Yarrowia lipolytica: one gene and its partners. The protein of the gene in region 2 interacts with the protein of the main gene of each other region in a pairwise test. Links are inferred from orthologs where the notes say so. Each region holds a gene or a part of one and is shown on either strand. Other genes may lie near its edges.

The links.
Region 1: the proteins of YALI1_A03422g (region 2) and YALI1_D03575g interact in binary tests that used the Saccharomyces cerevisiae proteins (3 or more experiments, as listed by UniProt). The link is inferred for Yarrowia lipolytica from reciprocal best matches to the Saccharomyces cerevisiae genes ARC35 and ARC19.
Region 3: the proteins of YALI1_A03422g (region 2) and YALI1_B26451g interact in binary tests that used the Saccharomyces cerevisiae proteins (3 or more experiments, as listed by UniProt). The link is inferred for Yarrowia lipolytica from reciprocal best matches to the Saccharomyces cerevisiae genes ARC35 and ARC18.
Region 4: the proteins of YALI1_A03422g (region 2) and YALI1_F20712g interact in binary tests that used the Saccharomyces cerevisiae proteins (3 or more experiments, as listed by UniProt). The link is inferred for Yarrowia lipolytica from reciprocal best matches to the Saccharomyces cerevisiae genes ARC35 and ARP2.

Annotation. Positions count from the first base shown.
Region 1 is NC_090773.1:356,628-361,719, forward strand, and holds YALI1_D03575g (uncharacterized protein), read right to left. Parts: upstream 3,006-5,092; coding exon 3,004-3,005; intron 1,746-3,003; coding exon 1,248-1,745; intron 941-1,247; coding exon 931-940; downstream 1-930. Other genes in the region: YALI1_D03604g (uncharacterized protein), read left to right, coding at 3,859-5,092. UniProt on the Saccharomyces cerevisiae protein: Functions as actin-binding component of the Arp2/3 complex which is involved in regulation of actin polymerization and together with an activating nucleation-promoting factor (NPF) mediates the formation of branched actin networks.
Region 2 is NC_090770.1:340,791-344,525, reverse strand, and holds YALI1_A03422g (uncharacterized protein), read left to right. Parts: upstream 1-2,266; coding exon 2,267-3,235; downstream 3,236-3,735. Other genes in the region: YALI1_A03442g (uncharacterized protein), read right to left, coding at 1-314.
Region 3 is NC_090771.1:2,643,155-2,646,545, forward strand, and holds YALI1_B26451g (uncharacterized protein), read left to right. Parts: upstream 1-1,922; coding exon 1,923-2,450; downstream 2,451-3,391. Other genes in the region: YALI1_B26430g (uncharacterized protein), read right to left, coding at 474-524; YALI1_B26517g (uncharacterized protein), read right to left, coding at 2,977-3,391. UniProt on the Saccharomyces cerevisiae protein: Functions as a component of the Arp2/3 complex which is involved in regulation of actin polymerization and together with an activating nucleation-promoting factor (NPF) mediates the formation of branched actin networks.
Region 4 is NC_090775.1:2,069,377-2,073,348, forward strand, and holds YALI1_F20712g (uncharacterized protein), read left to right. Parts: upstream 1-1,864; coding exon 1,865-3,043; downstream 3,044-3,972. Other genes in the region: YALI1_F20669g (uncharacterized protein), read left to right, coding at 1-718; YALI1_F20742g (uncharacterized protein), read right to left, coding at 3,556-3,972. UniProt on the Saccharomyces cerevisiae protein: Functions as ATP-binding component of the Arp2/3 complex which is involved in regulation of actin polymerization and together with an activating nucleation-promoting factor (NPF) mediates the formation of branched actin networks.

The DNA of each region.
Region 1 (5,092 bases), on a different chromosome or scaffold from region 2:
AGAGCATGCACGTGACCGAAGAAGGGACGGGGTGTCCACATTACTGCCGAATCAGTAGGTCACGTGGTAATGCCTCCGTTTTTGTTGTTCCTCGCTGTCCGGGCGCGAGCGCTAGCTACCGGCTTAGTCACTATCAAATCATCGACCAAATAAATATAATATTTAACGTTTGACTAAGCGGGCCTCTGTCAAACGACAATTAAAATTCAGAGGGATTGGTGGGAGATAAGAATGCGGCGTGGGGCTTGAAGACAGAGGCAGACTTATGTAATCGGGGGATTGAGGAAATCGGTGCGTCGAGAGAACGGAGAACAATATTACTAAGATTTTTGGTGGTTTTTATTTGCAAATATGTGTTTATTTGTTTATTTATTTATTTGTTTATTTGTTTATTTATTTGTTTATTTTTTGTTTATTTGTTTATTTTTTTTTTATTATTCTCTCTTTAAAAATATAATATTATTACTTTAATATTTAGCTAGTCCAAACTGTATCTGCTCGTATAATTGACTCAGAAACGCAGTTGAAACGGAGTGGATAAGACGTGTCCGGACTAGTCTGAGTATTACAGGAATTAATGGTGCTGACTAAAGATGACTACTGCATATTGTGGTGGATCTGAAAATGGAAATGTTTGTGAATATCTCAAGGGGGAGTGCTTTTTTAAACCAAACAAGAGTTGTCCCATTGTGTTCAGGAAGAAGCAGAATGACTAAGCAAAATAAGCACTATTCTGATTAAGCAGAGAATGCATGGAGCGCTCTTTTCACCATTATGACTCTCATCTGTCTTTTTAATGGCCATGAGTGATATTGCAGTACTTGTACTTGTAACCATATCGGAGACATGATACCTGGCCATTAAAAGTACGGCTCGGACTTTTCATTAAACATCGTTACGCTATATAGTTACAGTACAGGTGAGTACAGGTTAGTCGAACTGTGTTAGTAAAGAGAGAAGGGAAGGTCATTGTGAGGTCATTGAGCATAGCGGAATGTGAAGATGTGGTAAGCAGTTCTGAACAGTCCTGCTCCTCAGACACTCAGATCATACATCTCCAACCACATTGCTGAAACTCAAACTGTCAGACTACCATCAACGAGTAACTCGAAAATGATAGTCCCACTGTCAGAGTTCTCACAATGATCAAATATCACTCGTGTTTTGAACTCTTGATCATTCGTTGCGCTCATGATCTGGTCATTTACAAGTAGCTCGCTACGCTCACTAGTTGATCTGTACTCACCGCAACCAAATAACTCTCTGCGATAAATCGCGCTCTGGCATTGAGCACCAGCTTCATCTCACTGATCTCCTTGTCGACCACCTCCATAAACTCAATGATAAAGTCCACCAGCTTGTGCTTGAGCATGGTCTCGGTGTGGAAGTTTGTGATGAGGAACGAAATGCTGTATCCAGGCACGGGTTTTCGTCGCAGAATGTAGAAAGACTCGGCTCGGCCGGTCAGGAACCGCGTGAACTGGTGCACGAGAATCCGTTCAATCTCGTCCGCCTGCTTGATTCGAATCGACACTCGCACCGAGTTGATGGATGGCTCGATCAGCACCATTTCGTTTTCGTTTCGCGCAATGGTCATAGGGTTGAGCAGCGCCTCAGCTGACTTGCCGGACTCCACCTCGGGCACATTGTGTCGCTCTGCCACCTGCGAGCCAAAGTCTTCCAGACAGAGGGCTGCTGTGAGAGAGGTACGTACGGCAAGAAGGTAGGGTCGGAGGGATTGGGACTGGGTTAGCGCATGTCACAATAGATGCGTAGAGCGATTCAAAAAAAAAGTCGCTGAGTGAGGTGACCTGTTTCAAGGTGTCTTCAACGGAGTTTAGATGCGAACTATGACACTCGATGTAGGATCCCAACAATCATGTTACACCGGGAGAGGCGGAGAGCCGGGAGAGCTGCAAGGTGATGACTAGGTCCACCACAGGGGCCAACTTGGCAGATGAACACATCGACAGACACCGGCGCTGACGAGTTCAGAGATGTCGACGGTAGAAGTCAACAGGGTAGAACTCAACAGTGGCAGTCATAGTCTTTTAGGGTCACCGGACGTCATTAAGGGTGACTGGAGGAGTCATCGGAGTAGTCATCGGAGGAGTCATAGGAGGTATTGAAACAGTCACCACTGGGTCATTGAAGGAGTCATCATCTCTGACGACTCAGAGCCAGCCAACTATGAGCAAGTGACAGTAGAGCGATCAGAACGACGCTAGCGGACACACCTGAGTATCGCGCGCACTGGTAGAGTGCAGATCGGTGCAAGTGGTCGGTGGGGAAAGTGAGGGAGGGGGAGGAGGTGACCGTCAACGGCATAGTCAGGGTATCATCAGGAAGCGCTCTGTGTCGTAATTGCCGTAGCTGTCGTTGTCGTTGTCGTTGTCGCAATGGCGGTCGCAGTGTCATATCTCAAGACAGACACTCTAAGCACAGAAGCACCGTAGAGTCACTCGAAGTAGCCAGAACTCGTCATAGTCAACTGGAGCCCGCAAAAGGACATGTTGCTGGTATATGTAGTGAAAGACATGTTCAACGTAGTGGCCACTTGAACTCCACTGTCGACAGAACTAGACAATCATCAGAATGAACCAACAGCGATGACTGAACCACCACATCCCATCCGGCTCATTAACTATAGTCGACTCATTGACCCACTGAATTATGGCGCACAACACACTCAATCTCACCAACAAGATGGATCAAAACAACTCATCTGGAGCCATCAGTCAATCGGAACTCGCCACGTCATCAGAGACCCAACAGACACAGATCCGCTCGCCACAAAATGACATAAATGCGCTCATCAAAAACCCCCGTAGCTCGGCAAAGGACATAGAACCCATGAGCCTCTGGTCCCTCCTCAAATCCCCCGGCTCCATCCCCTCAAATCCCCCGGCTCCATACCCTAAACAATCAATGACCCTAACACTCATTTTGTCGTATTTTGCGCATCGAAAATCGCCCTTTTCGCCCCCTTTCGCTATACTCACCATCTCGGTCGGGTCGGTTGCGCTATTAGTCGTGCGTATGTAGAGGTACCGTATGCATCTCCAGAGTATTATTAGGTGGTGATTGGGAACCCTAACCCTGGATTTTGGGGTGGCATTTTCGAGGAATATTTGGGAGCGGAGTCGGTGTGAGTAAGGAATATTACAGGAAATAAATCCGTTTTAAAAATTCAATTAGATAAAAAAAGGAGTATATTGAGGTATATCTTGATGGATATTTGAGATATATTGAAATGGAGAGAATTAATGGATTCCCCCCTTCATGGGCTTTCATACCAAGATGATGACACATTTGTTTTTTTTTGTCAATTTTTTTGAGGTCTTAATACCATCTATCGTCTCACAGTTTTGTTTTTTTGAAAAAAAAATATCTATATATATTTATAAATAGCATTTTTAATCTATATATTTTTAGTTTTCAATGGAATAATTTAGTTGGGGATTTAATCCGTAATTTTTTTATTTTTTTTAATTTAGTTGACTTAGATGGGTAAACAGAGAACCTTCCAGATGCTGGAGTTTTGGTTGAGAACATTGGTAGAGTGACTACTTATGTTATCACGTGACATATTTTGATTATTTTCTCTTTTCTTTATATAAACGAATTTTGATTTTAATTCAATTATTTTTCAATTTCCTTTTAATTTAATTTTAATTCAATTTTAATTCAACCAAACAATTTTTTATCCATTTTTCAATTCTTCTTCTTCATTCCTCCAACTACTTACAATTTTCTTTATCATTTTCCATTTATCAACTAATTGGTTTTCTCATTAAAGTTCAACTCTATCTACTCACCCTCCTAATATCCAACATCACCCAGCTCCATCACCACAAAATGACCTGGCAAGAACACAAGGCGGAGGACGGACGAACGTACTACTTCGACCCGGAAACGCAAAACTCGACGTGGGACAAGCCCGAGGAGCTCTTCACGGAGCGCGAAATCGCCCTCAAACGCACAAACTGGAAGGAATACACCGCCGAGGGAGGCCGCAAATACTGGTTCAACACCGAGTCCAAGGAAAGTGTGTGGGTGTTTCCCGCAGATGCCGAAGCGATTCTTCAGGGAGAAGCGGCGGCCGATGAGTCGATTCCCAAAGAACCCCGAGAGGTGCGAGAACAGCGTGGTCGAGAAAAACGAGAGGAACATTTACCGTCTCTGAGCTCGATTGCGCCGGATAATGTGCAGCAGCAGTTCAAGGGAGGCAGTTCCGAGGAGATTGAGGCGTCTTACAAACAGCTGATGGCCGACAAGGAGGTCGACAGTAGCTGGACGGTTCAGAAGCTGATGAAAGAGTGTCTTGAAGACCCCCGATACTGGGCTGTGCGAGACGCTCTGAGACGGCGGGAACTGTTTGAGGAGTTTCTGACCGAGATTGAGCAGAAGGAGGTCCAGGAGACGTTGGATAAACGCCTGGAGTACCAGCAGAGAGTCTATGATTTGTTTGAACAGTCCAACAAGATTGGGCCGTATTCTCGCTGGATCAGCGTGGAAGAAGAGTTCCGCGACGACCCACTGTTCCACACAGGTCACGTGGACGACCGTAAACTGGCGCTCGCAAAATATGTCCGTTTTTTGAACGAACAGGAGCAGAAAAAAACCGCCGAGATCAAGGCCGCCGGAAAACAATTTCTCAAGTCCGTGCTGCAAATCGACATTGTCAAATCTACCTGGAACGATACCCTGAGAGATATCAAGTCGAGATCGGCGGAACTTGCTGCCGAGAGGCCGGAAATGCGACTGCTCAACAAGATGGACTTGCTGGACGTCTATTCAAAGACAATCGAAGAGAAGGAAGCCGAGTTGGTGGAACAGATTGAACAGAAATCCGCCGTCGCTGCCAGACAGGCCAGAATAGCCCGCCAACAGTTTGTCAAACTGCTCTCCGAACAGGTCGACAAGGGCCATATCGTCTACACCACCAAATGGAAGGAGCTGGTGGACTACATCAAGGACGATGTGCGATTCCAGAACCTGTGTGGAATCAGACACTCATCCACACCGCTGGACCTCTTCTGGGACGTGATTGAGGTCGAAAACAGACGGGTCCGAAACCTGAGGACCATCG
Region 2 (3,735 bases):
TTCTTTGTCTCACGAGAGGTTCTCCTGTACCACCCAAGAAGCGTTACAGTAGGAGAAAGGAAGGGGGAAACCCGTTCAGATCGGCTTTGATAAGGGATCTGTATGATCACTTGTCTAGTTTTTCTTCCTCTTTTGCTCTCAATACCTCTTTTATCGACTATTCCCCTCGCCTTAACGAGAACCCTGTCGGCGACTAACTTCAATCCTACCCCACACATCTGCAACAGATGGAACATACAGATGGGGGTTTTGAACATTAATCGACTTTGAACTGGCCATCTGTTGTTGAATGAAGAGGGGACGGTGAGGTGCATGGTCGGTTGCTTATGGTATTCGTACTTGGAAACTACAAGTTCTTGACCTTCCGAGCGTTGCGCCGTTCGCCATTAGTGCAACAGATGCCATTCTACTGCCCGTTCAAAGCTCGATAAAAGCTTTCGAATCCCACCATCCGGTCGACTAAATAGGTTCCACTGCCCCGTATTGCTCCCAGAATCTGCCCTTAGATCGACTATAACTGACTGCTAAACCTACAAGTAGAGCCCCACAGGAGAGTCCGTCCAACATCTCATGTCCTGCCAGACAGGGTGTTGAAACAGACAAGTACAGTATGTACACGTGATTTAAGGGACTGGATAAATTGTTGCAAGGCGTAAAAGCAAGGTGGAGGGGATGACAGATAAAAAAATAAAAAAAAAAAAACAATTAGGACTGATTTTCGAGGGCATCTAAAAAAGGGGCCGAGCAGGGATTTGAACCCTGGACCTCTCACACCCAAAGCGAGAATCATAGCTACTAGACCACACGGCCGAAAATCTTAAAATCACGTGAAAAAATACGGTCAAGAGACTAAAAAAGTGATTTTGAATTTTTCTTTGATTTTGACGCCCTTATCGACATTGTACAAAGTAAATAACATCGGATATTTATTCTCAAAGACCAAAAGTATCCCCTAGTAGCTTTTTACTCGAGTAGAACCGATATTAAGTTAATAATTTTGGTGTCGAAGTTGCATCTTTACGTTGAATTTTGGTATGGTAATAACATGCTGTAATGCATCATTAGAATAATAAAAAAAGTGGTTATTGTCATGATATTGAGTCAAATGAATAAAAATTGTTCTATTGAATGAACTTGCAGAGCCAGTGGCAAAAAAACTACATTTAAATCGGATCCATGGTGCAATTGGAGGTGTCTGTAAGTGGTCTTGTACGAACTGTGAACTGTACTTGCTACATACTGCACTAGTATGTACTGCAAACCGGAGTGATATTGTGAAACCAGAGCAATGACGGAGTGAAACAATTGAATCTGGTCCCCCAATTGGGCATTCTATGTCCGTGTTTTCAGGTTAAAACGTCTGGGATCATGTTCGTAGTCCTCCGAGTCCAAGCTCAGAACCATGATCTGATTAGAATCAGAGCTAAGAGGAACGTAACACTTTAGATGGTTAGTCTCTGAGACAGATGAACTGGGAGGTACTGTACTGAATGGATAGAGACTTGTTCGCGTTCAGTGCGAGTACAGTGTACGAAGGTCTGGCTAGAGACTGTGAAGAACAGCACGGGTCATACTGTAGTGAAGCATCGTAAAGGTGCTCCAGCCGTGAAAGACTTCGATATAGGGTGGAATACTTTGACAGAGTGGAATACTTCAATATAGGGGGAATATCAGTGATGTGAGACATCCCATTATACATGTTCCCGTGTCACTCGTGATAGAGTTCAAGTAAAATGTCAAGCATACTCCCAAGTAAACTGTTCCTAACAATGGATTATCAAGGTCGGGGTTTCACCTCCGTGTCCAATTGGGACCCCATCTATCCATCGGCGTCTCCAGCATATGTCACCAATTACCTTCACCGCTGTAATTGACTACTCCGGCTACAATTACTCGTACTTGCACAGTACTCGCACAAGTATCAACTCCTACATCCGCAACCCAGAGGGCTTATCTCCGAGTGAGTGCATAAACAGTGGTGTGAAGGTCATCTAGCGAGTCTGCAACTGCGGCAAATAATAACACTGGGGGAAGATTTTGGGTGACACGTGATCAATCACAAGCTCGAGGAATATAATTGTCATTTTCTCCGTATATAATCTGCTCTTGGTGCCACCAGTTTTCGCGCGGTTCGTCCCCAGCTTCCCATTAGAGTTCTGACTAACCAACGATATTAACGCAGTGGTACAGCACACATCTCCACGTTGACTATACACCCACTGCGAGACCCAGCACTCCCACACAGCACTCCACAAGACCCGCCAACATGCTTATGCTCCAGTACCAAAACCTGCTGCTGCAATCGGTGCTCAGCGAGCGTCTGGACCCCGAAACCCCGCCATTGGGCATCGATCAGGTGGTGTCGGACTTCGACAATGTCACCTTCCACATCTCCAACCCGGACCCCAAGGACAAGACGGTCATCATGGTGTCCATGTACATCAAGTGTTTCCAGGATCTGGTCAAGTGCGGCGCCAAGAAGATTCTGGAGCGGGAGTATGGCCCCTACCTGACCGAGCCCGAGCCTGGATACGACGTTTCGCTGCTGCTCAACCTCACAGACGGCTCCATCCCCTCGGACCCCGAGCAGCGAGACGAGCTTGTCAACAAGATTGCACTGCTCAAGAGAAACACGTTTGCTGCTCCATTCGAAAAGGCCTTTGACAAGTTCGACCAGCTGGCCGAGGAGGCTGCTGCCGAGGGCAAGGACCTGTACGCCCCCCAAAAGTCCGATAACGAGGTCATGGCGATCCACTACCGAGACGAGGAGTCCATCTACGTGCGACCGAGCTACGACCGAGTCACCGTCATCTTCTCCACCATCTTCAAGGACGAGACTGACCGAATCTTTGGAAAGGTGTTCCTGCAGGAATTCGTTGACGCTCGACGAAGAGCCATCCAAAACGCCCCCCAGGTGCTGTACACGCAAAAGGAGCCGCCGCTGGAGATCAGAGACGTTGTCAAGCCCTCTTCTAACGCCGACAACATGGGATACGTCACCTTTGTGCTTTTCCCCCGACATCTTGTGGCCTCTCGACGAGAGAACTGTATCTCGCACATCCAAATCTTCCGAGACTACTTCCACTACCATATCAAGTGTTCCAAGGCCTATATGCACTCGCGAATGCGATTCCGAGTGAGCGAGTTCCTCAAGGTGCTGAACCGAGCAAAGCAGGAGAATGTGGTCAAGGAGAAGAAGACCGCCAGTGGAAGAACCTTCAAGCATCCCAACTAGGTGGCCAGTAACTTGACGTAGCGTGCTGCTGATTGACTTCTCTTCATCTAACGGTCGGAACTAGCTATGCATCGGTATGTCTCCATGTACCATTGTAATGAATATGATATGAATAACAACTGACTGTAGTGAAGGTGTATGGAAGGCATTATCGAGATAGATTGGCGTGGGTACTGGTACGGTAACCACTCTGAAGAGTTTGATTGTTACGTGTATTTTAAATCAATATGACCAGGCTCGATGACTTTGTAGATGAGCAGGCCATTTTCCCGTCCTGACCAGGATAACCACGTTCATGATCCCAGATAGCAAGTGTTCGGGAGAATAATCCGGAACATGACATTGTCACAGGATAAGCGACTTCAACTGTGCAACTACTCAATAATAGCACCTTTTTACGACTCTGCTTCCAGTAAGTCCCTCACTGGAACCTCCTCTACATCCCATTATTTACAGAATCACCGCATCCCGAAAACCATCACATACACAGCTCACGACGT
Region 3 (3,391 bases), on a different chromosome or scaffold from region 2:
GCTGTGATAATTTGTATATGGCGATTCTTAGAGTCGATGTAGGTTTGATTTGCCCTAAGTGTGTCGTCATGTATGCTCTACACCACGTCGTGATGTGTCGTGCGATGCGTTGGTACGCCTTGGTTCCCCTCAAACCACGTCAAACAGTGTCGCTAAAATGTCGCCATAGGAACAGTACAGTCGTGAACATTCACCAAATGAAATTACTGCACATTCCACAGCAATCTCATCTGAATATATCCTTCACGTCACCCTTAAACCATCCGCTCATCTGTGTAACTGCGCGGTACGATAGGAACACCGCTTGTACTGTTGGGATATGAGCCATGTCGATGCTTCTAATTCTAGGTCTCTTCTTCTGCCTGTCTGTGTCTCGCTTGCCACTGGTTCTGTGTTCACATCAGTCTCCTTTCTGTCCATATCACCCATTGCCTGTGTCTATCAGGGTTTCTCCTCATGTCTCATCTACTCACCTGCATCGACGGAATATCGGTAAAAGGAATATCCAACACGTCCTGCGCCATTTGAGCTGCCCTGGGTCGAGTGTGACTAGTTGTGTGTCTCTTGGGGCGTTGTGTCGTGCAAACAACAACTGGTGTAGAGATTGGCGGGCTCTGAAAAAGTGTAGTACTGTACCCTAAGACGCACGAGGCTGTGTTTGTGTGGTGCCAACTTTAGGTTGCTTAGTCACCTGCGGTATTAGTGTGGGGGGAATAAATGGAGCGCTATGAGGGAGACGCATGCAACTTGACCCGGTCGGTACGGTCTATATTACTTGCTACAATGTGGTGAACCGGTGGTCTTTTTTCTCGTGAAAATCTGTCTTTTTTTTCGGCATTTATAGGACTGCCGAAAACGTCAGAAAATAGGGTTGGGGAAGACTGTACAAGAGCAGACCTTTGTATGAGTACTCGAGATACTTTTTTGGAGAGATGATGAAGAAGTCCAAACACCTCCAGTGTGTCATAATAGCCTGTGATGAACTATTTGCTGGCTTTTACTGTCACCTTTCTACCCAAAAGTACCCCTCTCTGACCCACCATTGTCGGTCATATTCACTATGTCCGTCGTATGCAGTCCATCACTTAACCTCATTTGTCCTTAATAAGCACAGGGGTACAGTAGTCCAAAAAGCAATAAACACGGAAGACTCAAGACCGTCAGCCGATGGTCCTGTAGCAGTTGAGCAAGGGAGTGGCTGGAAGCCGAAAATAGTGCCTTGTGTAGCCACAAGTAGATAACAATTCCTTTCAACTTCAAGCACGATAACCACTCAATTGTTAACTCAATAACTGTTCGCTCGCACTTGCCACACAGCTTGCTTGTACCTACGATAGGTGCAACTGTATTGTAGGCATGTGTCCTACAGAATGATCCTCGTCCCCTCCCCGATTATAGCCATTACGGTATTGACATTGAGACACTTACTACTGTAATACGAACATCGGCTACTTGTACTTGTACCAGGGTGTGATAATGAACTCTCTTAACTCCGGTTCCCCGCAAGTCAACCCGGCTGGCACTACAGTCGGTCACACCTTTATCTGACACAGTAGCTACGGTACAGTAAATCTGAAGTTCAATCAACTGAGGGAGTGATTTGAGAAAACAAACTCAAGTGCCATCCAAGTAAAATCCAAGTATGTTACTGAAGCAACCCGCACCCCCTTCCTCCGAATGTTCGCTTCGTAATCAGCGGAATTCATGGTCGAAACATTTCCAATTCACTCAATTGAATCGGCTTATGACATTCCATCAATCCACCTACCTCCGGTCACCAAAATCTCACCTCCCACCATTCCTTGCAATTTCACCTCTAACTGCGCCATTATTAGAGTTCACCAGCTATCTCCACCTCATCACACCCAAACCTGTCATTACCAACGCATCACCAACGTTAACACATCCAACCAGACACAAAAATGCCAGCTCTGAACAGTACATTTCTCGGCGAGGACCAGGACACCCGGGTAGTGGGCAATTTCGCTATCCTCCCCATCAAAACGTCATTCCGAGGCCCCAGTTACCCCAGCAACGCCGACTACGACATCATCGACGAGGTGCTGGATCTGTTCCGAGCAAACTCATTCTTTAAGAACTTTGAGATCAAGGGCCCTGCCGACCGGGCTCTCATTTACGGCATTCTCTTTGTGTCCGAGTGTCTGGGAAAGCTCAAGCCTACCACTTCTGCCAACGAGGCCAACAAGTTGCTGAACACTGCTGCTGTGGAACACTTTTCCATTCCCGGAGACGCCGGCTTCCCACTGAACTCTCTCTACGCCCCTCCCCGAGACCGAAATGAGGTCGAACTGCTGCGAGGCTACCTGATGCAATTCAGACAGGAGCTGGCAAAGCGTCTGATTGAGAAGATCTACAAGGACGACCCTTCCAAGCCCAACAAGTACTGGTTGGCTTTCACCAGAAGGCATTTTATGAACAAGAGTTTGTAAGCGAATGAATTACTAGGCACAGCCGGGTAATGTATGAGCGGTGAACAAACACAAGCAACTCCGGTGATGAATCTCCACCAAACAGCTGAAGGAAGAGGTGCATCAGAGCACAAACTAAAGCCCTGGATACACAATGTAACTAATGAATGATATGATAAGGTAACTTTGTAGGAGCTGGTCGTATGGATGAACTGTATGTATGTATAATAATGTATTGTCACTGTGTATCAGTATGTACATTGTACTCGTACTTTTTCGTACTTTTACGTACTCGTACTGTGTGCTTGTACTTGTATTGATCCAGTCTATACAGTCTATTTGTTTTATCTTTCTCACACTTTGAATATGACAAGTGGCGATAGACTACAACATACAGTAGGGATGTTGCCATAGGCACCCGTGCTAATTGCAAGTAGTCATTGTCAAGCGCCTACACTCAACTCAATTAAATCTTCATATAATACATATAAATAAACACGCTTTATCCATGCTATCCTTCCGTCCTTCGTGTCCTCCTCTCCCCTCTCTACTGCCAATAAGGTGGATAAGGTCCTGGGGGTGACTGCTGTCGTGGAGGATACATGCCTGGAGGAGCTCCGGGAGTGCCGGGAGCGCCGGGCGCGCCGGGAGCACCCGAAGGAGGACCCGCCATGGCATTGAGAGGCGGCAGGGTGATTCCTCCAGGACGTCCTCCACTCGGCTTTGAATCGCCATTGAGAATCGACGTGATCGACGACGTCTTCGAAGGCCGCTGCAGAATCGGCAAGGGCGGCAGTGTCTGCCGAGGCCCGTGGGGTGTGTGAGCGTTGATGGGCGGCAGAGAAAACCCAGTGGGAGAGCTCTGCTGTGGCGGAGGCGTGTGCGACAGCGGAGGCATGTAAGGTGAGTAGGTACTTCGTTGAAGATCTTGTCTCTGGAGGTCCTGCTGACGCTGTAGCTCC
Region 4 (3,972 bases), on a different chromosome or scaffold from region 2:
CGAGAGCGAGGAGAAGCGACGAGAGGAGATGAGTGTTCGAATTGTGTCATCTCTGGAGTGGGAGCGGTACCTCAAGTCCGCGTCTTCGTTTATTGTCGACGAATTTCAGGGCCAGTACCAATCAAAGCTCCAGTGTACTGTGTGCAAAATGACGTCGACGACATACACTGCATTCTCGTCGCTAACTCTGCCCATCCCCAAGTACGCTGGGGCCACTCTCCCAACGCTGTACGACTGCTTCAACCAGTTTACGCAGCCGGAGTTGCTGGAGGGCGAAAACATGTGGCAGTGCCCTACGTGCAAGAAGCCGCGGCCCACTATCAAGTCTATGAAGATCTCGCGGCTTCCAGAAACTTTGATCATCCATCTCAAGCGGTTCGACCACTCACGGGGCTATGGAGACAAGCTCAACACGTTTGTTACGTACCCTCTGGAGATGGATCTCACGCGGTATTGGCCTCCGCCCACATCGGAGGACGAGCCCTTCTTGAAGAAGCTGCTTCCTCGTGGCCAGACGGCTCCTTTCCGGTACTCACTGTTTGGAGTGGCCAACCATTACGGAACGCTGCGCGGGGGTCATTACACGTCGTTCTGCAAGCGTGGCAAGCTCGGATGGTGCTACTTTGACGATACGGTGGTGAACAGAAACGTGAACGAGCGAGCCGTTGTTAACAAGAATGCGTATGTGTTGTTCTACCAGCGCCGGCACAATCCTTAGACTTCTCAGAGACACGGTAGGCGATATACAATGAGGGGACGAAAAGCATCTTGAAAAATATGCATATAGCTATTTATATAACGAATTATGATTGCATGATAACATGGCTTTGGTGGAGGGCAGGTGTGTACATCACACTGGTTGTTGTAAGTTTAGTTATGTACTTGATGGTTGATTACGCCTATGACTGTCTCACCTCTATAGTTCGGAGATACGGAGTCTTGGAAGTGATGTTTTCAACAAGGTCTGACTATTGATTGATTATTACGTGCCAGGTACTAAAAGAAAACGTGAGCAATTCTTGGCATTTTTCTATTAGTAATATTTTTCCATTAGTAATAATAAATATCAAGCGATCAACCAAAGTATTTTGGTCGTTTTGTTTCAGATAAGTGTTGATGTAGCACTGCAACAAGCTACAACCATGAGTGAACAGTATGTACTGGATGTAAGAGTATTAGTATGAGTACATTGTATATGGATGGTGGGGTGAAGAGGAGATTGTTTTATTAGCACAACCCTTAAGCGTACAGTATCCGCGTTCCCCGACTGGGGGCCGTAGCTATTACTATTTTTTTTTTTTGTTTTTTATTTTTTTTTTTATTTTTATTATTTTTATTATTATTTATATTATTTATTATTATTATTTTATTATTATTATTATTTTTTTTATTATTTTTTATTATTTTTTATTATTTTTTTATTATTTTTTATTATTTTTTATGCTTCTTTTTTTTTTCTCTTTTTCTGCTTCTTTTTCTGCTCTTTTTTACCCTTTTTCAGCTGTTTTTCTGCCCTTTTTTACTCTATTTGAACATCTCCGACATTTCGCGGCCTGGAAATAAAGTTGTCCAGGCTGGCTAGATGGAGATAGCAATTCGGAGGTGGGATGGGAGGTGAGCTGGAGCTCGGTGTTGAGATAAGAAAGTGTATAGAAGGGCGTGTTTGAGACGCAATTAGTAAGAGAGAGACCCAATTGAGCTATTTGGGGTGTACTGGTCGCATTGTCACATCCATCTGGCCATGTCAGCCTACAAAACAACGGTTTTTTGCAGGCTCGTCGAGGGTGGCTGACTAATAAACTCCCGCATACAGCGCTCTCGACAGTGCATGACATCCACCCTCCATCCACACCACTGAGCGAATATGAGCGAACAACCAATTGTGCTAGATCAAGGAACCGGCTTTGTGAAAATCGGCTACGGAGGCACCAACTTCCCCGAACACACCTTCCCGTCGATGGTGGGTCGGCCCATTCTGCGGGCTGAAGAGCGGGCCACAGACACATACGGCGACGTGGCCATCAAGGACATTATGTGTGGAGACGAGGCTGCCGCGGCACGAAACATGCTGCAGATCTCGTACCCGATGGAGAACGGAGTGATTCGAAACTGGGAAGACATGGGTCACCTGTGGAACCACTCGTTTTACGACAAGATGAAGATTGACACCCGGGGTCGAAAGGTGCTGCTCACAGAGCCTCCCATGAACCCCCTCAAGAACCGGGAAAAGATGTGCGAGATCATGTTTGAGCACTACGGCTTCAATGGCGTTTATGTAGCCATCCAGGCCGTCCTGGCTCTGTACGCACAGGGCCTGTCGTCAGGAGTGGTGGTGGACTCTGGAGACGGTGTTACCCACGTGGTGCCTGTCTACGAGTCTGTGGTGCTCAACCACCTGACCCGTCGTCTGGACGTCGCTGGTCGAGATGTCACCCGACAGCTGATTGCTCTGCTACTGCGACGAGGATACGCCTTCAACCGAACTGCCGACTTCGAGACCGTGCGACAGATCAAGGAGAAGTTCTGCTACGTCTCCTACGACCTGGACCTCGACACAAAGCTCGCCAACGAAACCACTGCTCTGGTCGACACCTACGAACTTCCTGACGGCCGAACCATCAAGCTGGGATCAGAGCGATTCGAGGCCCCCGAGTGTCTGTTCCAGCCCCATCTGGTCGACTCGGAACAGCCTGGAATCGCCGAGACGCTGTTCAACACTATCCAGGCCGCCGACATTGATGTGCGATCGTCGCTGTACAAAGCCATTGTGTTGTCTGGAGGTTCGTCCATGTATCCCGGTCTGCCATCCCGAATGGAGAAGGAGCTCAAGCAGCTGTGGCTCACCCGGGTGCTTAACGGCGACCCCACCCGACTCAACAACTTCAAGGTCAAAATTGAGGACCCCCCTCGACGACGACATATGGTCTTCCTGGGAGGTGCCGTGCTTGCTAACATTATGCATGACAAGGAGCACATGTGGATCTCCAAACAAGAGTGGGAGGAGCAGGGCCCCGCATGCCTGGCCAAGCTTGGTCCCAGATAAGCGGCAACTCCAGCTACAACCCTGCATTGACAGTATCAACCTAACACTGTCGATGAAGGAACTATGTATGTTATATGATGAAACGATTGACGAACTGTACTAGCTGTGTAGCAGCGAGTGCAGTGGATGTAGCAGCAGAGCTACAGAGCGCCCAACTTGCCGCGAGTCTTATTGTACGATTAGTGTAGGCTGTCAGATGGGCATTTGCAAGTATTAACTGTTATCTGTGGATATATTGTTGATTGTCAGTGCACTGTATGCCATGTCAAATTGCTAATTAATCATTTGTGCGTGATCAACTGACCCTTCACCTTCACAGATCACATCGTCACTTCTCTCGTCTTCATTCCAAATGGGATGCAGAGTTATGACGCTGCTTCCAACTATTCAGTGGACCGCAATACTCCACCACTCGTAGCTATTTCTCAGTTCCGCACTTGTCCATCCTTCTCTACTCAACTCATAAAATCGTATTATCTATTCATTAATCATTATATCGCCTTTGGCAAGGACTAGGCCCACTTTCCGATGAGGGACATACAAATCATGCCTCCAACCAGACCCGACATTGCGAAAAAGACTCGCTTTTTGGGTGCAAAAGAAAGATCTCCAAACAGCCAGTCGAACGCCAACATCTCCACAACTCCAGCCCAAATGAGCACGCCAGCAGACAGAGCCGAGATGGTTCCAATGGCCCAAATGGTGGCAGGGTCGTTGGAGTTCATGGAGTCCATGACACCGAGACCAATAGCCATGCCGATGGGAGTGATGATGGTGAAATAGGTGCACATGCTCATTTTGAAGAACAGAGACGAGTCACGAAGTCCGGCGATTCGAGACCCAAGGCCGATACCTTCGAACGCCTGGTGGAACAGAATGGCGATGAACAGAGAAATGAAGCCGTCATCGTCGGCAATTGTGACTGCAAC